Linked DNA regions of Macaca fascicularis. The protein of the gene in region 3 interacts with the protein of the main gene of each other region in a pairwise test. Links are inferred from orthologs where the notes say so. Each region holds a gene or a part of one and is shown on either strand. Other genes may lie near its edges.

What was found.
Region 1: the proteins of AGTRAP (region 3) and MIEF2 interact in binary tests that used the Homo sapiens proteins (3 or more experiments, as listed by UniProt). The two-hybrid records come from large-scale screens. The link is inferred for Macaca fascicularis from reciprocal best matches to the Homo sapiens genes AGTRAP and MIEF2.
Region 2: the proteins of AGTRAP (region 3) and PITPNC1 interact in binary tests that used the Homo sapiens proteins (3 or more experiments, as listed by UniProt). The two-hybrid records come from large-scale screens. The link is inferred for Macaca fascicularis from reciprocal best matches to the Homo sapiens genes AGTRAP and PITPNC1.
Region 4: the proteins of AGTRAP (region 3) and ACSF2 interact in binary tests that used the Homo sapiens proteins (3 or more experiments, as listed by UniProt). The two-hybrid records come from large-scale screens. The link is inferred for Macaca fascicularis from reciprocal best matches to the Homo sapiens genes AGTRAP and ACSF2.
Region 5: the proteins of AGTRAP (region 3) and HSCB interact in binary tests that used the Homo sapiens proteins (3 or more experiments, as listed by UniProt). The two-hybrid records come from large-scale screens. The link is inferred for Macaca fascicularis from reciprocal best matches to the Homo sapiens genes AGTRAP and HSCB.
Region 6: the proteins of AGTRAP (region 3) and MYG1 interact in binary tests that used the Homo sapiens proteins (3 or more experiments, as listed by UniProt). The two-hybrid records come from large-scale screens. The link is inferred for Macaca fascicularis from reciprocal best matches to the Homo sapiens genes AGTRAP and MYG1.
Region 7: the proteins of AGTRAP (region 3) and AP3M1 interact in binary tests that used the Homo sapiens proteins (3 or more experiments, as listed by UniProt). The two-hybrid records come from large-scale screens. The link is inferred for Macaca fascicularis from reciprocal best matches to the Homo sapiens genes AGTRAP and AP3M1.

The regions. Positions count from the first base shown.
Region 1 is NC_088390.1:18,393,063-18,395,703, reverse strand, and holds the end of MIEF2 (mitochondrial dynamics protein MID49), read right to left. Parts: intron 2,580-2,641; coding exon 1,525-2,579; 3' UTR 501-1,524; downstream 1-500. UniProt on the Homo sapiens protein: Mitochondrial outer membrane protein involved in the regulation of mitochondrial organization.
Region 2 is NC_088390.1:73,801,751-73,805,715, forward strand, and holds the start of PITPNC1 (cytoplasmic phosphatidylinositol transfer protein 1), read left to right. Parts: upstream 1-1,165; 5' UTR 1,166-2,001; coding exon 2,002-2,049; intron 2,050-3,965.
Region 3 is NC_088375.1:223,063,033-223,066,409, reverse strand, and holds part of AGTRAP (type-1 angiotensin II receptor-associated protein), read left to right. Parts: intron 1-807; coding exon 808-842; intron 843-2,728; coding exon 2,729-2,834; intron 2,835-3,377. UniProt on the Homo sapiens protein: Appears to be a negative regulator of type-1 angiotensin II receptor-mediated signaling by regulating receptor internalization as well as mechanism of receptor desensitization such as phosphorylation.
Region 4 is NC_088390.1:56,282,340-56,286,397, forward strand, and holds the start of ACSF2 (medium-chain acyl-CoA ligase ACSF2, mitochondrial), read right to left. Parts: upstream 2,801-4,058; 5' UTR 2,798-2,800; coding exon 2,661-2,797; exon of another isoform or gene 2,656-2,660; intron 1-2,655. UniProt on the Homo sapiens protein: Acyl-CoA synthases catalyze the initial reaction in fatty acid metabolism, by forming a thioester with CoA. Has some preference toward medium-chain substrates. Plays a role in adipocyte differentiation.
Region 5 is NC_088384.1:22,920,497-22,923,996, reverse strand, and holds part of HSCB (iron-sulfur cluster co-chaperone protein HscB), read left to right. Parts: intron 1-144; coding exon 145-234; coding exon of another isoform or gene 235-239; intron 240-1,401; coding exon 1,402-1,546; intron 1,547-3,500.
Region 6 is NC_088385.1:60,099,172-60,103,454, forward strand, and holds the start of MYG1 (MYG1 exonuclease), read left to right. Parts: upstream 1-1,483; 5' UTR 1,484-1,519; coding exon 1,520-1,735; intron 1,736-1,931; coding exon 1,932-2,044; intron 2,045-4,283. Other genes in the region: PFDN5 (prefoldin subunit 5), read left to right, coding at 1,052-1,128. UniProt on the Homo sapiens protein: 3'-5' RNA exonuclease which cleaves in situ on specific transcripts in both nucleus and mitochondrion. Involved in regulating spatially segregated organellar RNA processing, acts as a coordinator of nucleo-mitochondrial crosstalk.
Region 7 is NC_088383.1:72,311,117-72,314,616, reverse strand, and holds part of AP3M1 (AP-3 complex subunit mu-1), read right to left. Parts: intron 2,421-3,500; coding exon 2,335-2,420; intron 1,665-2,334; coding exon 1,531-1,664; intron 1-1,530. UniProt on the Homo sapiens protein: Part of the AP-3 complex, an adaptor-related complex which is not clathrin-associated. The complex is associated with the Golgi region as well as more peripheral structures.

The DNA.
Region 1 (2,641 bases), on a different chromosome or scaffold from region 3:
GTGCTGGGATTACAGGCGTGAGCCACGGCACCTGGCCAAAATGCTTTTTAATTAATTAATTAATTTATTTATTTATTGAGACAGAGTCTTGCTGTGTCGCCAGTCTGGAGTGCAGTGGTGTGATCTCGGCTCATTGCAACCTCCACCTCCCGGATTTAAGCGATTCTCCTGCCTTGGCCTCCCAAGTAGCTGGGACTACAGGCACCCGCCACCACACCCAGCTAATTTTTATCTTTTTAGTAGAGATGGGGTTTCACCATGTTGGCCAGGATGGTCTTGATCTCTTGACCCCAGGATCCACCCGCCTCGGCCTCCCAATGTGCTGGGATTATGGGTTTGAGCCAGCGCGCCCGGCCAAGATGCTACTTTTTAAAGTAAACTCTACCACCTCCAATTGACCTCAAGCACCCTTGCCTAAGTGCCAGGACAAGCCACAGGACTTACAGAAAACCCCCAACAGCTACGTGTGAAAGCGCCAAGACCCCCTTATCCAGCCTGAGTTACACGTTAGAATTTTCTTTTATTCTTGTTCACCTCTTCGAAGCAGAGCTTCATTTCAGCAGGAAGGATACCAGAGGCAGGAGGAGGATCACTTGGGAAGGGAGGTGGAATCTCCCTCCTCTAGCCCCCCTGCTACCTCTAACGGGCTTCAAAGTCAGAATACAGCCATCGGCTGAGAGCAGTTCATTTTGGCACACTGGGAGGCCGGCTCTGCGCACCGGACCCCTCTGGTGGGGGATCAGGCCCTCTGCTCTCCAGTGGGGCCTGGAAGAGCTCCAGTGATATGCCCCAGCTGTGGGCTGGGGGCGCAGCACAGAGCCTCAGCTCCCCCAGGGCCCTCAGCTGCTTGAAGAAAACACTCACCTGGCTGGAGGGAAAAAGGGCCTTGCCCTGAGGTATCAGGTGGGTAGCAAGTCACACTGAGCTCCTGCTCCAGGGCTCGAGAACACAACAAGAAAACTAAACGCACAGAAGACAGCAGGAAAACGCCATCCTTTAACAGCCAAAAAGCTGTCATTCAGGGACACCAGGTGACTCCAGTGCCCGGGGGACAGAACAAACACACCATACCTACCACCAGGCACCAGAGGCCTCAAAACGCCTGGAGCTGGGGCCGGAGAAGGCGGTAAGTCGCCTTCTCTCAGCAGAAATGTGAAGTTGGCCTTTAGCTTCTGCCCAGGATGGCAGAAACCACATTCTGTCGGTGGATTGGTTGCTGGTGATGGACAGAGCCAAGGTCCTGGGGTTGGCCCCAAGGGCTGAAAAGGTGCTTGCAGAAATGGCTGGCACTCCAAGCTGCCTGAGCCAGCCCAGCCGTACTCAGGTGACAGTGACCCAAGCTCTCTGGGCTCAGGGTTTACGGCCACCATAGCCCAAGCACATCCCGATGCCCTGGGTTTAAGTAATGTACCCTCTTTTGTTCTGGCTAAAAGCTAGAGAAAAACCACTATTCAAATCCCCGGAAGGGAGGTGGGCGCAGCTTCCCAGCATTAGAAAACACGCCAGCCACCCATTCCCACCCACCTAGAGCAGCCCCTCGGGCTCCTGTAGGCCACTGTACAGCGCATAGCCAATGTCGTCAATCTCCTCCTCACGCAAGCTGCTGAAGAGGTTCACGCTGGGGTTGAAGTGGCAGGGCAGGCTGGCCTGCTCCAGGCTGCCGATGAGCAGTTCCAGGGCTTGCAGGAAGCGCTCACCCAAGGCCTCCTCCGTCCAGTCCACATTGTCCTCCCCCAGACGTAGGACCACCTGGGTCAGGTGACCCCGGCCCAGCTGCCCCAGGGCCGAGCAGCCACGGCAGACAGCACACAGCAGCAGCAGCAGCCGACGGCGGGTCCCAGCGTCATGGTCGTCCAGGGCTCGCAGCCTTGCAGCCTCCACTGGATACAGGTCCTGCAGCCAGAGGTTCCCCGCCAGCCCCTCCAGGGGCCAGGCCAAGAGGAGGTGGTCGTCAGCATCGGCCCCAGGGACTGCCACAAGCACAGCCACGGTGAGCTCCAGGCGCTCGTGCTGCACCTCGAGCAGCAGCTCCTCTGAGGCCATGCTGGGCCAGATCAGGCACCCAAGAAGGCTGCCAATGGCCGGCCAGTTGACAGAGGCAGCCAGCGCCTTTCGGAGTAGCTCCAGCAGGATGCGGGAAGAGAGGTAGCCCCCAACCAGGAAGCGGTCCCAGGGGCTGCTCCCGCGGGGGCAGAACTCAAGCTGAGTCCTGCGCACGGCCCAGCAGCGAGGGTCCCTTGCCACAGTGTCCACGCCCGGCACCAGGCTCCATAGGCCCGGCTCCAGGACCAGTGGCACCAGGAGACGCACATGGTCCGCGGCCCCTGCCTGCAGCCCATCATACAGCGGCCCCCCAGGCACAAATGCCCCAAAGGGCAGTTCCGGGAACTTGCTCCGAAAGTAGGCCTGCAGCTCCAGGGCAATGTCGCCAGCCAGCTGTTTGGCCAAAGCCACCTGGGCTGCTGGGATGGTCACATGGTCCCGCTCGAAGGCCAGCAGCCTCTCCTGCAGTGTCAGACACAGTGGTGCTGGGGAGCTGAGCTGTGGTGTCACCTCAGGACCAGTTTCTGCAGGCCCCTCTGCAGAGTGAAGGGGCGGGGAACATGTCGGAACAGCCTGTGATTAGTTAAGAAAACACCAC
Region 2 (3,965 bases), on a different chromosome or scaffold from region 3:
GAGGAATTTGGTTTAGCTTTAATTAGTTGCTGTGAATATTTCTGAGCCAACTCTGGAAAGCATTTATCTGGAAAATAGTTTCCACTAAAATATAAGCTGGATACAGGGTATCATTTTCCTAGGAGGGTTTGTATCAGTTAACACAGTTATACATTCTCTCCAGCCCTCTGGATGACTTTTGCCACAAGCCCATCATCGTCATATTGGTTAATTACTTATTAATCACAATTCAAAATTCTATATTGAGGCATCTGCATCCCGATCCAAGTTCTAGCCTCAGGACCTCAGAGCATGAAGATTTTCCGGAGAAAAGATAACGCTTACAGGTTATTCTCATACAGGCAACTGATGCATTTTTCATCCGGCAAGTTTTCATAAAAACAAGCTGAAAAATACCAGACAAATGAAAAACAGACTTCAGCAGTTCCATGCTGCTTCCTGAGTAACTGAAGAATGTGCTTCTTGTGGTTAAAATGAGGGATCTGTTTAATATGGATGAAATAGCAACACTCCAGGCATTTTCATTGACATTTCACTGTGACTTTTTGAACTTAGGAGTGCGAATACGAAAACCTACTCTTTCTTTCTGCTGTGCGGAGCCTGCACAATCTGCAGAAAGATTGCAGAGCCGGGCCAGGCGAGGTAACAGGCTACGTGGGGTTCATGTGCTCTCTGGTTGTTCCCTCCCCCTGTTTGTACTTCATTTCCATTCACACGGCTGCACTTCCCAGTTTTCCAGGATCTCTCCTCTGAAACCAGGCAAGGGTTTGTTCCCAAATCCCACCCATTGCCTCTCCAGCCCTGGACTTGCTTACTGGACCACACATAGGTGGTGGGCATTGGTGACTTGTCCCTAGGGTCAGGGGATCAGAAACTGCCCAGAGGGGCTGGATGGAGCTCGGCGGCACTCAGGGCACAATGGAGAGCGGATTCAAAGGGCAAAGGAGCCGAGGGAAGCCCCTCTGCCCGAGCCTCCCCAGCGCCGGCCGGGCTCCGCTCCGGAGCAGCCCCGCCGTCTGGCAGAGACATGCTGTTTTGTTTAAATCCTCCACATTCTTTGCCATTTCCCCATTGGCCGGATGGGGCTACCCTCCCCGCCGCGGCCGCTGCTGATGTCAGCCTTGCTCGCGCTCGCTCTTCCCGCACCCACCTCCCGGGCCCAGGCACACTGCATCGGCGCGGACGCTCCGGCCCCGGCGAGGTGGCTGCAAACTCGCGGGCACGCACGGCGCCCGGGGAGCCAAGGGACTCGGGGGAGGGGACGCGCGCGGAAGGCGCCAGCTTCCTCCCGCCCGCCCCTAGCAGCCGCGAGCTGAGGTTGGAGGCGCCCGGGGCCCCAGCCGGGCAGAGCCGAGCGGCGGCTTCCCTTTTCTCCCCGAGCCGAGCCCCGGAGCGGCGCGGGGACCGGCCCTAAAAAGAGCAGGAAATCTTGTTTACCGCCCGCGGAGAGGAGCCGATCGAGCCTTTGTCTGGAAAGTCAGCATCTCCGGCTCCGGCTGCAATGTGTTCCTGGTGACATTAGCATCGGGCAGACCCGCCGGAGGAGGGGGTTCGCCAGGTTCCCTTCTGCTTTCGGAGGCGGATCGAGCGGGTGACTTTTGTGCATTCGTTTTAATTTTTGGAAATCTCTCTTTTTTCCTCCCTCGCTCGCTGCCGGGCATGTCCTGATCTGGCGGCCGCTCCTACCACCCTGGGCTGCCGAGCAGAGCCGTCACCAGCGGGTCTCCCTCCCTACCTCTCTGACTTTGCAACACCGCGTTCTGGGAGGACCGGCCTCGGCGAGGGAGGAGGCGGAGGAGCTGCGAACACCCGGACCCAAACCCTGACATGCTCTGGGGCGGAGAGGAGGAAGCCAGGAGCTGAGCTTGCCGCGGGGGCTGCTTCGCCCGCCGGCTACGAGCGCTGGGCTCCGGGCGCCCTGCCCTGCGCCTGGGCGGCAGCCTTGCTGGTCTGGAGGGCGCCCCCAGCTTCCCGCCCCGGGGATCCGCGGCCGGCAGGACCATGCTGCTGAAAGAGTACCGGATCTGCATGCCGCTCACCGTAGACGAGGTAAGCGCCGCGCCCGGCCCGGCCTCGCCCGCTCCGGGACCGCCGCCGCCGCCGCCGCCTCCTGGCCGGCGAGCCCCGGGCTAGCGGCAGGAAACCCAGGTGGACGTTACCCCGCAAGCCCGAAGGCTGGAGGAGAGGAGGAAGGGGATTTGCGGCTTCCACTTGTCACCCCAGCGGGGGAGGGCGGCGTTGGGTGGGGCGGCGGACTCCGGGTGGGCTCTTTGGGGGCGCCCAGAATCCAGACTGTTGGGGATCACAATGAGCCAAAGGGAGTGGGTGCGCCCCCTCCTTCCAAATAAGAAAACGAATAAAGCAAACCCAAGAGCCCCCGGCGCGCGCTGTAGCTAGGGTTTGGGGGGCACCCCGTCCTGGCCGTGGGCCCATCTTCCCCTCCCCGCCCTCTGCGGTCAGGTCGGGGTGCAAGGAGGAGCCTTGCGCCCTCGGGATCTGCACGCCCAGAGCCCCGCGGGGGGCACCTCGGAGCCCTTGGGGGAGGTCCCTGCGGGGCCCGACTTGTCGCCGTCGCCGCGGTCTTGGGCGCCGCTCCCGGCACGTCCGCCCTTCGAGGCTCGGGACCCGGCTCTGTCCTTTCGCAAACCGCCTGGCTCGGAAACTTTCTGCGTCTCTTATTTCTTCCGCCGCGGGGAGCGTGGTCGGCCCGCGAGCCGGGAGCGGCTGAGGCTGCGACGCGGCCACAGGAGGGCGCTCCAGCACGTGGTGCCGGGGCAGCGGCTGCCGGCTGGGGGCGCCGGGCGCGGGGCGGGGGCTCGTCCTCCAAGCGCGGCTTTGCTGCCCTTTTCCCGAACCTGCGAAGCCACGAGCCCCAGCATTCAGGAAGTGGTGACTCAGACTGGATTATTCCAGCCCTGGCTTCCCTTTCTTCCCCTTCTTCCTGCCCACCTTTGTGGTGATTTCACGACTGCTGAGCGCCTCTGTCCAGGGACAGCGAGGGAGCCCAAAGCCAAGCACGGCAACGTGAAACTCACTAGTATGGTTTGGTGTGGCAACACACATGAAATCAGCCACCCACACCGTCTTTATATTTAAATCTGGTGCCTTGAAACTATCAGATATGTTATTGAGCCACCACTTGGTGAGAGGGGCGATGCGCTTTGGGAGAGAAAAAGATCCTTAACTGAGAACGTGGCTGTGCTCACAGGGGCTGTCCGTATTTGCCATCTGGACCAAGGGTTAAGGCAAGACCCAAGTACAATCCAAGACAAAATCAAAGTAGCTGCAAGTTTACAAAACGCATCAGGGGTACACAGGCTGCCAAGGAGGGAGAGATCAGCTTCCACCAGAATGATCAACCGAGTTTTGGAGTTCTTTGGCATTTGAGGAGGTAGCATTTAAGTAGGGTCTGGAAGGGTGGATGCCAGATGGGTAGACAGAGATTCAAGTTGCATATGACCTTGTAAGTGGAGAAGCAGGACATAGCTTTGTGGAGAAAGCGAAAGGCAAATGAATGGGACTGGTTAATAGGTCTTTCCAGAAAAGGTGGATATCGTCCCACCTTCTGGGCAGTTGAGCTAGAGTAATTCACCTGGGAGGCGTGGATCCCTCTACTCTATCTCCTAATGACCTTGTTTTTTGATATGAGTTTGGATTCTAGGAGCAATGTTGGGACTGCATGGAATACACAGAAAATTGCAGGTGATAATCAAGAAAAGAACCAGTTCTAGAAGCTTCTCTACTACCTACAAAATCTCTTTATCCTAGTTAGTTCCCTTTTCAGGCTTTCTGAAACACTCAGGCAGATGCTTTTCCCACTTTTGTTTTTGTACCGAAATATCCACAGGTATAACATGGGGTAATTACATTTGAATGATATAGGTGGAGGCCCTTCCTTCCGTCCGTCCGTCCGTCCTTCCTTCCTTCCTTTTTTCTTTTCTTTTTTGTTTTTTTGAGATGGAACC
Region 3 (3,377 bases):
AAAGTGCTGGGATTACAGGCTTGAGCCACCGCGCCCGGCCAATTTTTGTATTTTTTAGTAGAGACAGGGTTTCACCATGTTGGCCGGGCTGGTCCTGAACTCTTGACCTCAGGTGATCCACCCGCCTCAGCCTCCCAAAGTGCTGGGATTACAGGCGTGAGCCACCGCGCCCAGCCTGGTTGCCCATTTTTATAGTTATTTCTTGATAATACGCTAACCTAGGGGTAGATTATTCATGCCTCCCCTTTTTAGACCATAAGGGGTAACTTTGTGACGTTGCCATGGCAGTTGTAAACTGTCATGACGCTGGTGGAAGTGTAGCAGTGAGGACCACCAGAGTTTACTCTTGTGGCCATCTCGATTTGGGTGGGTTTTAGCCAGCTTCTTTACTGTAACTCATTTTGTCAGCAAGATCTTTATGACCCGTACCTTGTGCTGACCTCCTATCTCATCCTGTGACTTAGAATGCCTTAACTGTCTGTGAATGCAGCCCACTAGGTTTCAGCCTTATTTTACCCAGCTCCTATTCAAGATGGAGTTGATCTGGTTCAAACGCCTCTGACTCTTGGAAGGGGCGTGGGTGTCAGTGAAGGCATGAAGCGGCCCCTCCCTGACCTGGCCTGCTTTCTTCCTCCTCCTTCACTCCTGGGCCACCTGCAGTTGCTGGTTTGTCTTTTCAACAGACATTTCTGAGGCCCTCAGAGGTGCCGGGTGCGGGGGCCTCCTGTGTTTTCTGCACCTGATGCTTTCCTGCCTCTGTGGTGGTCATGTTCACAGACCTCTTCTCCCCCCCTTGTCATACCACAGGTGATTCTCCTAGGTCACTGGCTGCTGACAACCTGGTAAGTGACTCTGTGGGTATCTCTGTGTCTCCTGCGGTCTCAGGGTCTGTGTCAGCCGGGTCAGGTCCTGGCTCTGCCATGTTTTAGCCGGGTCACTTTGGGCCAAACAGCTGTGCCTCTCAGGTCATCTGTACAATAGGCATAAGGATTGCACACCCTGCAGGAGCTGGGAGGGAGATGAGGAAGAGTGCTCATCAGAGCTCCCCAGGGCCTGCCCCGCAGTGAGGCCTCAGCATTGCGGCTTGATTTTCACCTTTACCATCACTTTTAATCTGTTGAGCTTCTGGAGACATTTCTCTGCCAAACCAAGACTGGAAACCCCTGAGCTCACATGTGCACTTTGTAAACTTTGCAGTGCAGCACACAGGGCAACAGCTGTGAGTAATATGAACAGTAGCCATCATGGTTCACGACCTTGAGAAGCAGGGCCAAAATACAGATTTCTTAGTCACACTTCCCCAAGATTCTGAGTTGGTGATTCTGGGCTGGGACCCAGGCACCTGCTTTCTTTTTTTTTTTTTTTTCTGGAGACGGAGTCTCGCTCTGTCGCCCAGGCTGGAGTGCAGTGGCCGGTTCTCGGCTCACTGCAAGCTCCGTCTCCCGGGTTCACGCCATTCTCCTGCCTCAGCCTTCCCGAGTAGCTGGGACTACAGGCGCCCGCCACCTCGCCCGGCTAGTTTTTTGTATTTTTTAGTAGAGACGGGGTTTCACTGTGTTAGCCAGGATGGTCTCGATCTCCTGACCTCGTGATCCGCCCGTCTCGGCCTCCCAAAGTGCTGGGATTACAGGCTTGAGCCACCGCGCCCGGCCACCTGCTTTCTTAAAAGCAAAAAATAAGATGGTTTATTCAAAGACGTATTGAACCAAATGGCACTTCACACCTGCCTTGTACATGTCTTCTGCATGTTACACTGCAGTGAATGTCCCATAAATCTAGGAAGCATTGGTAATAAACGAAGTAGACTTGGTCCCTGTCCTTCTGAGTCGTCTTTGCAGCACAGCAGGGTGAGCAAGAGCATGGCCTCTCCAGCCAGACTCCAAATCCCAGGCTTACTGCTCAGCAGCTGTGTGACCTTGGGCAAGTTACTTAACCTCTCTGTGCCTTAGTTTCCTTATCTCTAAAGTAAGGATAACAGTAATACTGCCTTCCTAGGGTTGTTAATATAAATGCACATAAATGAGTTAATTTAAAGCACTTAGAACCATGCCAGGTACTAGCAAGTGATCTGTGTTCACTATGATTTTGATTGGATTGACAAGCAAATAAGTAAGTCAACAATGTCAGTTAGTGGCAATACCCTAAAAAAGATAATAGGGCGGAGCTTGTGTTAGGAAAATGACAAGGTTGTACTTAGCACTGGTGGGTGAGGGAAGGAGTCTCAGGGTGAACATTCAAGTTGCCACTGAATGACAAAAGGAGGGCCAGGTGTCAGGGTAGAGGGTGCCCGCCACACAGGGCAGTGGCTGGGAGGTCAGCAAGGGCGGAGCTGTGTCCAGGATCCCACGGGCCCCTTAAGTCCTGGTGAAGAGTCTGCATTTTATTCTAAATGGGACAGAAAACTGTTGGAGGATTTTTAGCAGAGGAGTGACAGCATCTGACTACATTATGGGTTGCTGTTTAGAGAACAGAGTGGCAGTCAGGACACTGGCACAGGGTGGCTGCGGCTGTCATCTGGCAGGAGAGGGAGGTGCTTTGGATCTACAGGGACACAGCCAGATCCAGGGTCTGAGTGGGAGGCAGAGCCCATAGGATTTGCTGGCACACAGCCAAGTGGCCTCGAAGACTATGGTGTGTTCTGGGAGGAGGCCCTGAGACCCCGGAGCAGGAGGGAGGTGACCTGTGGGGTGGTGGTCGCCTGACAGGACTGAGCTACCTCTTCCTACAGGGGCTGCATTGTATTCTCGGGCTCCTATGCCTGGGCCAACTTCACTGTCCTGGCCTTGGGTGTGTGGGCTGTGGCTCAGCGGGACTCCATCGACGCCATAAGCATGGTGAGCCAGGGTGGGGGAGAGGCGGCAGGGTGGTGGAGAGGCGGCAGGGTGGGGGAGAGGCGGCAGGGTGGGGGAGAGGCGGCAGGGTGGGGGAGAGGCGGCAGGGTGGGGGAGAGGCGGCAGGGTGGGGGAGAGGCGGCAGGGTGGGGGAGAGGCGGCAGGGTGGGGGAGAGGCGGCAGGGTGGGGGAGAGGCGGCAGGGTGGGGGAGAGACGGCAGGGTGGGGGAGAGGCGGCAGGGTGGGGGGCTGCAGCACAGGGTGAAGCACAGCCTGGCTCTGCCACCCCGTCCCGTCCCAATATTCTCCCTTTTCCTTGGGCTGCCACTTCCCATTGTCTAAAGCCTTGTTCATCAGCCTCCTGGGCTCCGGCCCATGCCTGTCTTCAGGAGCCCAGCCTGCTGCTCTTGTCTGGCTTAGAGAACCCCAAGTCTGCCATTATCTCCCCGAGGAAAGCCATGGGGTGGGTCCCACCGGTGCCTCAGATTAGCCACTTCGCCAGAGCGGCAGAACATCCCCTGTAACCTGCCCCTGGGGCTCTCTTTT
Region 4 (4,058 bases), on a different chromosome or scaffold from region 3:
CAGGGTGAGGACTGAGTTTTGTGGCCTCTATATCCATTGCACGTGCTAGGCACTTGACACAGAATCTGTTCTCAGGAATGTTTGCTGATGGTTTCAGCCCTGAGGCTTCTTTTTTTATTTTTATTTTATTTTTATTTTTTTGAGACGAAGTCTTTCTCTGTCACCCAGATTGGAGTGCAGTGGTGCAACCTCCACTTACCAGGTTCAAGCAATTCTCTTGCCTCAGCCTCCCAAGTAGCTGGGATTACAGGCATGCACCACCACGTCTGGCTTTTTTTTTTTTTTTTTTTGAGACGGAGTTTCGCTCTTGTTGCCCAGGCTGGAGTGCAATGGCATGATCTCAGCCCACTGCAACCTCCGCCTCCCAAGTTCAAGCGATTCTCCTGCCTCAGCCTCCCTAATAGCTGGGATTACAGGCATGTGCCACCGTGCCCAGCCAATTTTGTATTTTTAGTAGAGATGGGGTTTCTCCATGTTGGCCAGGCTGGTCTAACTCCTGACCTCAAGTGATCCACCCACCTTAGCCTCCCAAAGTGCTGAGATTACAGGACTAAGCCACCATGATTGGCCTTTATTTTATTTATTTTTTATTTTTTTGACATGGAGTCTCGCTCTGTCACCCAGGCTGGAGTGCAGTGGTGCAGTCTTGGCTCACTGCAATCGCCGCCTCCCAGGTTGGAGCAATTCTCTTGCCTCAGACACCCTAGTAGCTGGTATTACAGGCCACACCTGGCTGATTTTTGTATTTTTAGTAGAAACGGGGTTTTACCATGTTGGCCAAACCGGTCTCCTGACTTCAAGTGACCCGCCCGCCTGGGCCTCCCAAAGTGCTGGGATTACAGGCATGAGCCACCCACGCAGCCTTTATTTTTATTTTTGAGTCTAGGTTTTGCTCTGCCGCCCAGGCTAGAGTACAGTGGCATGATCATGGCTCAATGCAGCCTTGAACTCCTGGGCTCAAGTGATCCTACCACCTCTGCTTTTCAAAGTGCTGAGATTACAGGCATAAACCACCATGCCCGGCCTGAGCCCTGAGGCTTCTGAAGTGGAAAGTAGGAGAGAAATCAGGTAAAACCACCACAGTTAGCCAATAAGGGTACAAGCACAAGGGAGTGGAAGGGGCAGAAAGGAGGTAGGCCAAACACTCAGAAAATCATCTCTCTGGATAAACGAGTCTCCTCCTGACACAGCAATAAGAATTTCTCTGAAGCTTGGTGCTCTCAGAGGCCTCAGGGCTGTAGCAGGTAAGTGACCTATTTTGTTTATAGACAAAAAAGTCAAAGGTCAGGAATGTTGCCATGTGGCCTGATTTATTATTTATTTATTACTTTGTTTGTTTTGTATTAGGCAGCCTCCTGAGCCAGAGTAGGCTGAGAGACTCCCCTTTGGTCTGATTTAGTATGATAAAATATGCACACGGTGGGGAGTAACTTTCCTTAGAGTCCTCCCAGCCTGAGGGGGCACCCATGAGTCCAGAGGAGAGGCTTAAGAGACTAGGGGATCAGGGGAGGGCTGAACTTGTCTAGGGAGACCCTGGGAAGTAGTGAGTGACTTCCCAGGGTCACTGGGAAGAGGACCCCACTGTCCTCATCTCAGTCCCATCTACTGACCAGCCTTGATCCACTTAGTTTTCTCAGCAAATTAGGCAGAGTGATGTTAAGGCGTTGCATGCTTTCTAGCATTCAGGAATCAGCAAGTTCAAAAACTGTGATCTCGGAGTTCCAGCAAAAAAGGAGTCTGCATGTCCCTCCAACTCTTCCTGCTTAGCCTTTTTAAAAACAAAAACAAATCTAGTTCTCTGAGACACAGCTTTGTTCTGACTTCTCCTTTTTCCACGTCCAGACCCACACCCCATCTGATGTTGTTGAAAGTGGTGTCCTGACCACTGACTTAGTATCTGGCCTAGTTGAGTGGTAGGACAGGCTCAGTGGTGCACAGGGCTCCCCAGTGGTGCTGCTGAAGCTAACAGCACTGATAGCATTGGTGGCAGCCTGCTCTCTATGACTCAAGCACTTTCACATTTGCCATCTCAGGCGGTCCTCCCAGGGACTGGTCGCGCCGGAAGGCAGCTTTACTTACTGTGCTGCTGCAGAGGCAGTGAAACTACTGGGAACTGAAATCCTCTGCCAGTTTCCATCCCACCCCTTGCACTGAGGATAGAAGAAAATAGGCCCAGGAGCAGGCAGCAAAGAATAAAAGCCATGTTAGTGAGCAGCTGATGAGGAGAGAGGAGACTGCTAAGTTTAGTGGCCTGGGTCGGGGAGAATGGGGCTGATCCCCAAGTTTGCCCATGCAGGGGTTCCAACTCAGAGGCAGTGGCCTGGGCGTACAGCCCAGGCCTTGGCCCTGGCCCCTCCCCATCGGAATATTCTCCTTAAAGCCCACACTCCTTGCCCTCTGTGCCCATAAAGGAGAAAGAATCGAGAGTCTTGGACCAGAACTCGAAGTCCCTGCAGCCACCAACCAAAGCCCCCTGCCAAGTCCACCAGGCCAAGCCAGCTTTTCCTATTGCCTAGGTGCTCGTAGGGGGCGGGTGAGGGGCGGGTACCTTCCCCCCGGTGCACTCGTCCAGAGGTGGGGCTTCCGAAGCTCGGCAGGACCTCCAAGTTCCTCTCCCAGGGAACTGCCCCGCCCCCTCTCTTCCCGCGGGGGGTCAGTACCTGAGGAAGCGGACAGCCTGCAACCTCGCTTCCTGCCAACTCCGAGAGAGGGCTGCCCGGGCCCCCAGCACCCCCGGGCTCCCGGCGCACATTCTCCCCAGGCGCAGCATCCCGACGTAGGCTGCAGTGGCTCGCATCGCCCAGCGTCCCGGCCAGAGTAAACTTTTAAAGTGAGCCGGGGCGGGGCGGGCGCGGAGCAGGCGGGGAGGCGGGGAGGGTGGCCTCTGCCTATGGGGTGCGGCGGACTCGGTCTCGGCCGGCGGGGCGGGGCGAGGCGCGGCGGTGGCGACTTCGCGCGGGGCCACCTTCCCCGCGGACCCCGCGACCCTCCCCCTCCTACCCTCGAAGAATAGCCCTGGTTTCCTCTGGATCCGAAGGCCCCAGCTGCAGTCCGAGACAGATCTTCCTCGCGACCATTCTCAGGGGCCTGGATGTTAGAGGCGCAAACGTTTGTTGATTTTCCAGAGGGGCCAGATGGCAAGGTCAAGATCCGTCCATCCCCTGCCCCCTTTAGCGCTCGGGTCACGTGCTGGCCCCGCTGCTTGCAAGCCAGGGGCCAAAGGAGCAGGCGCGAAGCGCCCTTGAGGCATGCCAGCTGGAGCAGAGGGCCCGCAGGGGTGGGGAGGCAGCCGGGACAAAGGGTGTCACGGGTGAGCCCCCTGCGAGCCCGCTGGCGCCAGAGTCGTAGCTGAGGCCAGATGTCAGCTTCAGAAGGGACACCAGTTGTACCCCATCTCACACGAGGCATCCTCCCATCCCTCCTCTGCTGCCTCTGCCTTGACCTTCTTCACAGGGTTGGGGGCCGGGCACTGTAAGGTGGCCTCAGGGACTGGGACCTGTGTATTTCATCCTCCATCTGCCTGTCTTGGGGCCTGTGGCACAGTTCCCTGTGCTGCCCTAGGCGTGAATGGAAAGCAACCCTATGCCCCTCCTTAGGGTTCCTGAGTTCCAGGGGTGGGTGGGGTACTAAGACACGGCCGAGCTGCGGGACACAGAAGGTGATAATCCTGCTCTGCTCCTGGCTAGGAAAGGTGGCACTGGGCACCAAAGAGTAGCACAGTTTATGCCTGTTCCAGGTCCACACTGCCTCGGGCTAGCCATGACTCTTCCTCTAGAGAAGGAGCTGGAGAAGAATGAGGCAAAGGCCCTGGCAGTGTGACCTCCCCTCTCCTGACAGGAGGAGATGAAGTGAACTCTGCCAGGCAGAAGGGGTGGCTGAGAGTGGAGCCTGGCCTGAGGTGACGTTTGCCCTTATCTGGGAACTCTGGCTCCATTTTGGTCATGAGAAGGAGTCCACGCTGAGCCTCTTTATGATCTTGAGCGTGACCTCAAATCCTCCCTGGAACCCCGGTTCCTAGGGAGGGTCCACACACTTCAGTTTCTGTGGGGTTGGGGCAG
Region 5 (3,500 bases), on a different chromosome or scaffold from region 3:
GATCACTTGAACGTGGGAGACAGAGGTTGCAGTGAGCTGAGTTCATGCCACTGCCACTCCAGCCTGGATGACTCTGTCTAAAAAAAAAAAAAAAAAAACTTTGTAATTTGGATGGTAAAGTACTATCTTCATCTCCACTAACAGACTGAAAAGGACTTCTCAGAGAAGCATTCGACCCTGGTGAATGACGCCTATAAGACCCTCCTCGCCCCCCTGAGCAGAGGACTGTACCTTGTAAGGTGATTTCCCAACCCTTTTGTGCATGAAGTCCTGATGCCCATTATGACATAGGACAGCCACGTCCCCTTTATTCAGCAGAAGAGTGCTTGAGGTCGGGCATGGTGGCTCACACCTGTAATCCCAGCACTTTAGGAGGCTGAGGTGGACAGATCACTTCAGCCCAGGAGTTCAAGACCATCCTGGGCAACATGATGACACCCCATTTCTACAAAAAATACCAAAATTAGCTGGGCATGGTGGCATACACCTGTAGTCCCAGCTACTCTGGAGTTGAAGCAGGAGGATCACTTGAGCCTGAGAGGTCGAGGCTACAGTGAGCTGTGATTGTACTACTGCACCCTCTCAAAAAAAAAAAAGAGTCCAGGGACCCAATAGTATTTAGCCTTACAGCACAAGTATAATTTTCTCTGTGAATATTACTTGCCTCAACAGCATTTTTTAAATTGTTATTTTCTAGCTTTTTTCTATGAATTTCAAGGATTTGATGTTGGTAGCTTTTAGTTAAAAGTCATTTTCTGTTGTGTTTTTTTTATTTTCCCCTCTCAAAAGTATCTTAAGAGGCCAGGCATGGTGGCTCACGCCTGTAATCCCAGCACTTTGGGAGGCCGAGGCAGGTGGATCACGAGGTCAGGAGTTCAAGACCAGCCTGGTCAAGGTGGTGAAACCCTGCCTCTACAAAAAATACAAAATAATTAGCCAGACGTGGTGGCAGGTGCCTCTAATCCCAGCTACTTGAGAGGCTGAGGCAGAGAATTGCTTCCCCAGGAGGCAGAGGTTGCAGTGAGCTGAGATCATGCCACTGCACTCCAGCCTGGGTAACAGAGCGAGACTTCATCTCAAAAAAAAAAAAAAAAAGTATCTTACAATCTAGAAAATTTTGTAATTGAATAGAATCTTTAGAAACATCTAGTTCAACCTCTGGGTGGAGGGATGACTACCCCAAGATCACACCAAGGTCACACAGTTTCAGGTAGCATTAAGTGGAAATCCCATTCCAGCATTTATGTTTCAGTCCAACCTTTTGATACCCCTTAGTCTTTCATTACTGGGACTGTTCCAGTTTTCTCTATTAGAGGTATTATTTCCTAACGGATGAGTAGGATTTAGATTACTCTGCCCATAGTTTCTTCAACTTATTTTTCTTGCTTTCTGCCCCAATAGCTAAAGCTCCATGGAATAGAGATTCCTGAAAGGACAGATTATGAAATGGACAGGCAATTTCTCATGGAAATAATGGAAATCAATGAAAAACTTGCAGAAGCTGAAAGTGAAGCTGCCATGAAAGAGATTGAATCCATTGTCAAAGGTGAAAGACAAAATAGCACCGAATGTATTTCATTGCTTGTCCAAGGATAAGTGAAAAATGAACGTAAAGAGTACATAATGGCCCAGGCACAGTGGCTCATGCCTATAATCCCAGCACTTTGGGAGGCCAAGGCGAGTGGATCACCTGAGGTCAGGCGTTCAAGACCAGCCTGGCCAACATGGTGAAACCCTATCTCTACTAAAAATACAAAAATTAGCCAGGTGTGGTAGCAGGCGCCTGTAGTCCCAGCTACTCGGGAGGCTGAGGCAGGAGAATGGCATGAACCCAGGAGGCAGAGCTTGCAGTGAGCGGAAATCACGCCACTGCACTCCAGCCTGGGCGACAGAGCGAGACTCCGTCTCAAAAAAAAAAAAAAAAAAAGGAAGGTTATTTACTTTAAGGAATTAGCTCACATAATTGTGGGAGCTGGCACATCTAAAATCTATAGGGTAGGACTGGGCGCAGTGGCTCATGCCTGTAATCCCAGCATTTTGGGAGACCGAGAAGGGCAGATCCCTTGAGTCTAGGAGTTCGAGACCAGCCTGGGCAATGTGGCGAAACTCCATCTGTGAAAAAAAAGACTAAAAAATCAGCCAAGCATCGACCGGGCGTGGTGGCTCACGCCTGTAATCCCAGCACTTTGGGAGGCCGAGGCAGGTGGATCACCTGAGGTTGGGGGTTCGAGACCAGCCAGGCCAACATGGAGAAACCCCGTCTCTACTAAAAATAGAAAATTAGCCGAGCATGGTGGTGCATGCCTATAATCCCAGCTACTCGGGAGGCTGAGGCAGGAGAATCGCTTGAACTTGGGAGGCGGGGCTTGCAGTGAGCCGAGATTGTGCCACTGCACTCCAGCCTGGGCAACAGAGTGAGACTCTGTCTCAAAAAAAAAAAAAAAAAAATCAGCCAAGCGTGGAGGTGCACACTTGTGGTCCCAGCTATCCGGGAGGCTGAGGTGGGAGAATCACCTGAGCCCGGGTGTCAGAGCTTGCAGTGAGCTGAGATCACGCCACTGCACTCCAGCCTGAGTGACAGTGAGACCCTGTCACAAAAAAATAAATAAATAAAATCTATAAGGTAGATAAGCAGGCTGAAAGTCTAGGCAGGATTTCTATGTTACAGTCTTGCTACAGAATTCCTTCCCAGAAAACCTGTTTTTGCACTTAATGCCTCTACTTGATTGGATGAGGCCCACCCACATTATGTAGGGTAACATCCATTACTTAAAGTCAACTGATTATAAATGTTAATCACATCTACAAATACCTTCACAGGATCATCTAAACTAGTTGGTTTTTGTTTTTTTGAGACATGGTCTCACTCTGTCACCCAGGCTGGAGCGCAGTGGTACAGTCACAGCTCACTGTAGCCTTGACCCATGGGCTCAAGCAATCTTCTCACCTCAACCTCTTGGATAGCTGGGACTACAGGCGTGCATCACCACGCCTGGCTAATTTTTTGTGTCTTTTATAGAGATGGGATTTCGCCATGTTGCCCAGGCTGGCTTTAAACTCCTGGGTTCAAAGCAATCCCCCTGCCTCAGTCTCCCAAAGTGCTGGGATTACAGGCGTGACTCAATGTGCCTGGCAAACAACTGGGCACCATAGCCTAGCCAACTTGACTCATCAAATTGACCATTCCACATATAAAAGATTCCAAGGTTCTCTGTTAGACTCTATTCATTACATACTTTCACAGATATTTGTAGTGTTCTACTACAAATATCAGGCACTGCGTATGACACTGAGGATACAGCATAGAACAAGAAAGACTGTGCCTTCTTGGAGTTTATATATGTCAACTGTGCCCAAAATGGATTCCCAAGTGTCTCCCCTCCCCACCTTTCCCCTAAAAAAAACCTGTTCCTCTTAGGCCGGGCGCGGTGGCTCACGCCTGTAATCCCTGCACTTGGGGAGGCCGAGGCAGGCGGATCACGAGGTCGGGAGATCAAGAC
Region 6 (4,283 bases), on a different chromosome or scaffold from region 3:
ACTTGGAAGTCAAGGGAAGGGAAGTTGTACCAAGGTATGTTTTTTTGTTTTAAAAAAGCTCCCCTCTGTTACAATCAGGATTCAGAACCAGTGTTCCGAAGGTAAAAATCTTTCCACATTATAGTTTTCTGATTATGTCAGACTCATTTAATACCAAGTGTGTTCGTTTTTATATCTCTGATTAGCAGGGTTTTTTTTTTCCCCGAGACAGTCTCATTCTCACCACACCCAGCTGTGGTTAACATATTGATTGATGCATTGTAGACCCTAAATTTGTGTTAGCGACCCCACAGTGGATCACTGAGTTAAAGTTTTATTAACAGTGCCAGAAACGGTGGCTGACGCCTGTAATCCCAGCGCTTTGGGAAGCCGAGGCAGGTGGATCACCTGAGGTCAGGAGTTCAAGACCAGCCTGGCCACCATGGTGAAACCCCCGTCTCTACTAAAAATACGAAGTTAACCTGGGCATGGTGGTGCATGCCTGTAATCTCAGCTATTCGGGAGGATGAGGCAGGAGAATCGCTTGAACCCCGGAGGCAGAGGTTGCAGTGAGCCAAGGTCGTGCCACTGCACTCCAGCCTGGATGACAAGAGCAAGATTCCATCTCAAAAAAACAAAAAAGTTGGCTAGGCACGGTGGCTCAAGCCTGTAATCCCAGCACTTTGGGAGGCTGAGATGGGCGGATCATGAGGTCAGGAGATCGAGACCATCATGGCCAACATGGTGAAACCCCGTCTCTACTAAGAAAATACAAAAAAACTAGCCGGTCAAGGTGGCGGGCGCCTGTAGTCCCAGCTACTTGGGAGGCTGAGGCAGGAGAATGGCGTGAACCCGGGAGGCGGAGCTTGCAGTGAGCTGAGGTCCGGCCACTGCACTCCAGCCTGGGCGACAGAGCGAGACTCCGTCTCAAAAAAAAAAAACAAAAAAAAAAAACGTTTTATTAACAAACTGTAGTTAGTTGTCCACCTGTCCTTAAACTTGCCTGTAACTTCTCCTTAACTCTAGGTTCTCCTTTTTGCTCCTAACCTTTGACGCTTCTTTTTTTCCACAGCTGTCATGGAAATGATGAGTCAGAAGATTCAGCAGCTGACAGCCCTGGGAGCAGCTCAGGCTACTGCTAAGGCCTGAGAGTTTTTGCACAAATGGGGCAGAGGGACACGGTTTTGGGCATGGCTTCCTGGTGCTGGGAAGGGTCTTGTGTTTAATGCCAATAAATGTGCCAGCTGGGCAGAATGTTGGTCTTTTCTTGGATTAAGCAAGGGACTGGTGATGAGATGGGGGGGTGGTCGAGAGTGTGGGCCCCGCCCCAGAGCCTGATGCACAGGGTTGATGCGGTGCTCCTCTTGAAGGCTCCACCGCAGGGCCCTTTGACCAGCTGGAAGAAATCCTAGGCTGGGTGTGAGCTGCTGCTCACTCTGCGGAGCTGGTTGCCAAGGCAACGGTTGGCAAGCGGAAGTGGAGCTCCGCTGGCGCTTTCCCTTCCGGGTCGGCCCTCCTGCCTCCCTACCGGGAGAGTCTTATGGGATACCGCTTCCTGCGCGGTCTTTTAACGCTGCTGCTGCCGCCGCCACCCGTGTATACCCGGCACCGCATGCTCGGCCCAGAGTCCGTCTCGCCCCCAAAACGACCCCGCAGCAAACTCATGGCATCGCCCCGAATCGGGACGCACAATGGCACCTTCCACTGCGACGAGGCACTGGCATGCGCACTGCTTCGCCTCCTGCCGGAGTACCGGGTACAGTCCGCGAAAAGTGACCCTGACACTGCGTGCATGCATGCCTCCAGGGTGGATGGCATTCCGCTGACAGGGTCCCTCCGATAGCGCGGGGCATCCCAAGCACCCTTCCTACCCGCCCTGTCTCCCTGAAGTCCAGCTTTAATCTCCTACCCGGCGACCTCTGGCAGCCCCTTCACCCCTGTGTACCTCGCAGGATGCAGAGATTGTGCGGACCCGGGATCCCGAAAAACTCGCTTCCTGTGACATCGTGGTGGACGTGGGGGGTGAGTACGACCCTCGGAGACACCGATATGACCATCACCAGAGGTAGGTTCTCAGATACCATTTATTTAACTTCCTTGACCTCAGCTTTCCTCTGTGCTCCAATTCAGCCATCCACTGCAGTGGTCCGCGTCAGCGAAAATAACTGCCTCATTGTTGAAATCAAACTTCCACTAGGACTACACCATCCTTCCGCCCTGCCTGTTCTTCACCCATCTCCTTGGCCTGGGACCTCCCTTGGTTCTCAGGGAGTCCCTCAGGCCCCTTATCTCATCTCCTTCCTTAGCCAAGGCTTTTTTCCCACCAGCGACTTCATCACCCTGAAGGGATGGCCTGCCCCGCCCCACCTGTGGGCGTTTCTTGTCAGATGGAACCAGAGACTTGAGAAAAGAAATGAGACACAGAGACAAAGTATAGAGAAAGAAAAAGTGGGCCCAGGAGACCAGTGCTCAGCATACAGGGGACCCGCGCCGGCACCGGTCTCTGAGTTCCCTCAGTATTTATTGATCATTATCTTTACTATCTTTTAGAAAAAGGAGAAGTGGCAGGACAATAGGGTCATAGTAGGGAGAAGGTCAGCAGAAAGACATATGAATAAAGATCTCTATGACATGTATAAGTTTAAGGAAAAGTACTGTGCCTTGATGTGCATATGCAAACATCTCCATAAACATTTTCAGTGCATAAAGAGCAGCATTGCGGCTAGCACGTCCCACCTCCAGCCCTAGTCCCACCGCCAGCCCTAAAACAGTTTTCTCCTATCTCAGTAAATAGACTATCACATGGGGAGAAACCTTGGACAATACCTAGCTTTCCTAGGCAGAGGTCTCTGTGGCTTTCCGCAGTGTTTGTGTCCGTGGGTACTTGAGATTAGAGAATGGTGATGACTTTTGACAAGCATACTGCCTTCAGGCACTGGTTTAACAAAGTACATGCTGCACAGCCCCAAATCCATTAAACCTTGAGTCACCACAGCACAAGTCTCTGTAAGGACAGGGTTGGGGGTAGGGTTACAGATTAACAGCATCTCAAGGCAGAAGAATTTTTCTTAGTACAGAACAAAATGGAGTCTCTTATGTCTACTTCTTTTTTTTTTTTTTTTTTTTGAGACAGTCTCACTCTGTCGCCCAGGCTGGAGTGCAGTGGCCGGATCTTAGCTCACTGCAAGCTCCGCCTCCCGGGTTTATGCCATTCTCCTGCCTCAGCCTCCTGAGTAGCTGGGACTACAGGCGCCCGCCACCTCGCCCGGCTAGTTTTTTTTTTTTTTTTTTTTTTTTTGTATTTTTTAGTAGAGACGGGGTTTCACCGTGTTAGCCAGGATGGTCTCGATCTCCTGACCTCGTGGTCCGCCCGTCTCGGCCTCCCAAAGTGCTGGAATTACAGGCTTGAGCCACCGCACCCGGAGTATGTCTACTTCTTTCTACATAGACACAGTAACAGTCTGATCTCTTTTCCCCACATCACCCCAACTAAATAAACCCATCTGTGATTAATCCATTCTGGTGCCCTTGCTGCTGCACCTAACTGCTGGGCCCACATGATTGTGGCAGTTCATGACAGTTCAGATGTGTGAGGTGTTCTACTTCATCTACACCCTTCCAAAGGGAAATCCTTCTTGCTCAAGGGTAGCCCATTCCAATCCTTTTCTTCCCCGTGAAGCCTCTACAGCATCAAACTGATCGTCCCTGCCTCTTCGCAAAAGAAGTTGAGCATTTCTGCAGTCTCCCACCTCAAACATCCTCAGCTCCCTCCTACCAGTTAAGGGAAATTTCTTCCCTTCTGTTGGAGGTTAATCCTCTGTCCTGTTTCCAGTCTATTACTTTCCTCTGGGATTCCTTTTTCTTTTTTTCTTTTTTTTTTTTTTGACACGGAGTCCCCCTCTGTCATTGAAGCTGGAGTGCAGTGGAACGATCTCGGCTCACTGTAACCTCTGTCTTCCAGGTTCAAGCAATTCAACTGTCTCAGCCTCCTGAGTAGCTGGGACTACAGGCGCCCACCACCACACCCGGCTAATTTTTGTATTTTTAGTAGAGACGGGGTTTCACCATATTGGCCAGACTGGTCTCGCATTCCTGGCCTTGTGATCCACCCCCTCTCGGCCTTCCAAAGTGCTGGGATTACAGGTGTGAGCCACCGTCAGCCTATCCTCTGGGATGTCCTGTCACAGTTCCACTAGTGTCTCTGCCTCTCCTTCTCTACAGCCTAAAACTCTTCTCAAGTGTCTTCTATCTTGAAAAGAAACAAAGGTATAAAAACAAAACCCTTCTTCAATTATACCACACCA
Region 7 (3,500 bases), on a different chromosome or scaffold from region 3:
AGAAGAATCACTTGAACCCAGGAGGTAGAGGTTGCCATAAGCCAAGATCACAGAATTGTACTCCAGCCTGGGCGACAACAGTGAAACTCCGTCTCAAAACAAACAAACAAAAAAACCAAAAAAACATAAAACAAACAAACAAAAAAAAAACAATTGGGGCAAATGGCCCTAGTTTAAAAAAATGAATTACGATCCCACTGAAAAATAATGTAAAATATGTTTTATATAAATGAAAACAGTTCCTATGTGATGAGTCAAGAAACAGGCTGGGTGCGGTGGCTCACGCCTGTAATCCCAGGACTTTGGGAGGCTGAGGTGGGCGGATCACCCAAGGTCGGGAGTTCGAGACCAGCCTGACCAACATGGAGAAACCCTGTCTCTACTAAAAACACAAAATTAGCCGGGCGTGGTGGTACATGCATGTAATCCCAGCTACTTGGGAGGCTGAGGCAGAGAATCACTTGAACCCTAGAGGTGGAGGTTGAGGTAAGCCAAAATTTCACCACTGCACTCCAGTCTGAGCAACAAGAGCCGAACTCCGGTTCAAAGAAAAAAAGAGCCAAGAAATAATTTGTCTGCTTTTGAGTCCTGTCATAATGTTACTCAAATAACTTCTGGTATTTTCAAGAAACAAACTAGCTATAAAACTACGATCCCCAATGCTAAATTTTTTTTTATTTTTTTGAGATGCAATTTCACCCTCTTGGCCAGGCTGGAGTGCAGTGGCATGATCTGTCACTGCAACCTCTGCCTTCCAGGTTCAAGTGATTCTCATGCCTCAGCCTCCCAAGTAGTTGAGATTATAGGCACACGCTATCACGCCTGGCTAATTTTGTATTTTTAGTAGAGACAAGGTTTCACCACGTTGACCAGACTGGTCTAGAACTCCTGACCTCAAGTGATCTGCCCACACTGGCCTCCCAAAGTGTTGGGATTACAGGAGTGAACCACTGCACCCGGCTCTCAATGCTAAACAGTTCCTTAAAACCTCGAAGCAGAGAAGACTGACTTGAAGCAGGTAAGTTTGGGAATGTCCTCACGAACTACAGGTAGGTCTGTCTCCTTGTTAGCCACAAAGTCTACAGACTATGGTAAGATTATGGCAGTGGTTCATGGTTTTGCCCAGGTTATGCACAGTCCATTTTGCTCTGCTTGCAAAGTACTCAGCTGTCAGAAGCAGAGCAAAATGGACCGTGCATAACCTGAGCAAAGAACCAGCGCCATAATTTGACAATGCGTAACCTTGCAAAGAACCAGTACCAAAACCTTTTGCCCAGGTTATGCATGGTTTGCTTGCCCTTGGCTATAGATTTTACTCTAGTCTCACTTAGTACCACTCTACACTCATACATTCAAAGTATACTGATATTTTAGGTGCGTATTTTCACCAGTTCTCACTGGGTCTCCCGGTGAGCTATGGTTAAAGTGAGCAATGACGACCTCAAGTACTCAACTGTCATAAAGGAACAGGGAAAGGTGAGTTCTGCTTGATATGTATGATGGCAGATTCTGGCTGATGCATCAACATACTTTTGTGAGCTGACACGGTATGATATGAGTCGGAAATTTCCATCTGGAGGAATAAATGACAAAACTCTTTCAGATTCCCAACGCTTGAACCGGATGCAGGGGTGGAAGCTGACGTCATCCAGAAGCCTAGGGTTCTGTCAAGAAAACAGAAGACAGCCGTGTTCATAGAGCATAATGAATATGGGAACTGTACTTAGATACCTTGACAAATCAATATGTTCCCTGAAGATAAAGCAGTCATGGAAGAGTTTATGACCACATCTACACAACCTTATAGTTTCACAATGCTTTAAAGTTTGTAAATATTTTATGTACATTATTTTATTGAATTTCAATAACCATAAAGGAGAAAAGGCAAGTAGTATTATTTCCCTTTAACAGATTAAAAAACTGAGGTTCAGAGGACTTAAGGTCAGAACAAACTGGTGACAACACCAGAAGTCAGTTCTCTTAATTGTTCCTAGCAGTATGTCATGCTGACTCTAAAATGATACAAAAGACCAATGTCCTTTCATATCAGCAAAGCAAATAATTACTCAGTAAAAATGATACTGGATATTTGCAGAAGCCAGCCAGCCAATTTTAAGCCCTTTCTAGCACACTCAGGCAAAGACCTCCCTTAGCCTTTCCATAAAGACCACGCTCATCATGTAAGTGCCTGTCTTAGGAAACTCTGCTAGGAATATTTCTGAGACAATCCTTTGCAATCTAAGATGCAAACTTATCTCAATATTTATCATTTCATTTAGTACTTCACATGTATTAGGCATTCAAGGGGCTATAAAACAGGAGAATAAAACTTACCATGAAAGAAAGGGAGAGATCGGGCATTCCAGATAGTTTAATGCAAGCATCAATGACCCCCTGAATTTCTGCAAAGACTGTAGATCCTGAAGAAAGAAAGAAAAAGGAAGATAACATCAACGGAATATGAGTCTTAACTAGAGCTATCACTATATCTTTTTATTTTTATTTATTTATTGTTTTTAGAGACAGAGTCTTGCTCTGTTGCCAAGGTTGGAGTGCAGTGGCACGATCACAGCTCACTGCAGCCTCACTCCTGGGCTCAAGTAATCCTCCCGCCCTAGCCTCCCGAATAGCTGGGAATATAGGCGCGTGCCATGACACCTAGCCCAACAATCACTATATTTAGAATAATGGAGATACCCTCTGGGTGTCAGACTTACTGAAGCTTTACATCTCTATTAACAGGTCAGGGAACAAGGTCCATACCTAACTCTGGTTGGAATATGATAATTTTTCTTTTTTTTTAAGAGATGAGGTCTTACTAGCTAGTCCCAGCTGGCCCCCACAGTAACTGGGACTACAGGTATGCCACTGTAGAATATAATTTTTTTTTTTTTTTTTGAGACAGGGTCTTTCTCTGTCACCCAGGTTGGAGTGTAGTAGTGCTATCACGGCTCACTGCAGCCTCAACCTCCTGGGCTCAAGCAATCCTCCCACCTCAGCCTCCCAAGCAGCTGGTACTACAGGCATGCACCTCCATGCCTGGCTAATTTTTGTATTTTTTTGTAGAGACAGGGTCTTGTTACATTGCCCAGGTTGGTCTCGAACTCCTGGGCTCAAGCAATCTGCCTACCTCAGCCTCCCAAAGTGCTGGGATTACAGGTGCGAACTACCATACCCAGCCAGAATATGCTAATTCTAAGGAAAATTAAACTGTCTCCTTTATGGAGCCAACCCTGTAAGATGACTGGATATGAGTTTAAAACATATGAGGCCAGGCACAGTGGCTCATGCCTGTAATCCCAGCGTTTAGGGAAGCCGAAGTGGGTAGATTATCTGAGCTCAGGAGTTTGGGACCAGCCTGGGTAACATGGCGAAACCCCGTCTCTACTAAAAATACAAAAAATTAGCCAGGCGTGGTGGTGTGTGCTTGTAGTCCCAGCTACTTGAGAGGCTGAGGCAGGAGAATTGCTTGAACCCAGAAGGCGGAGGTTGCAGTGAGC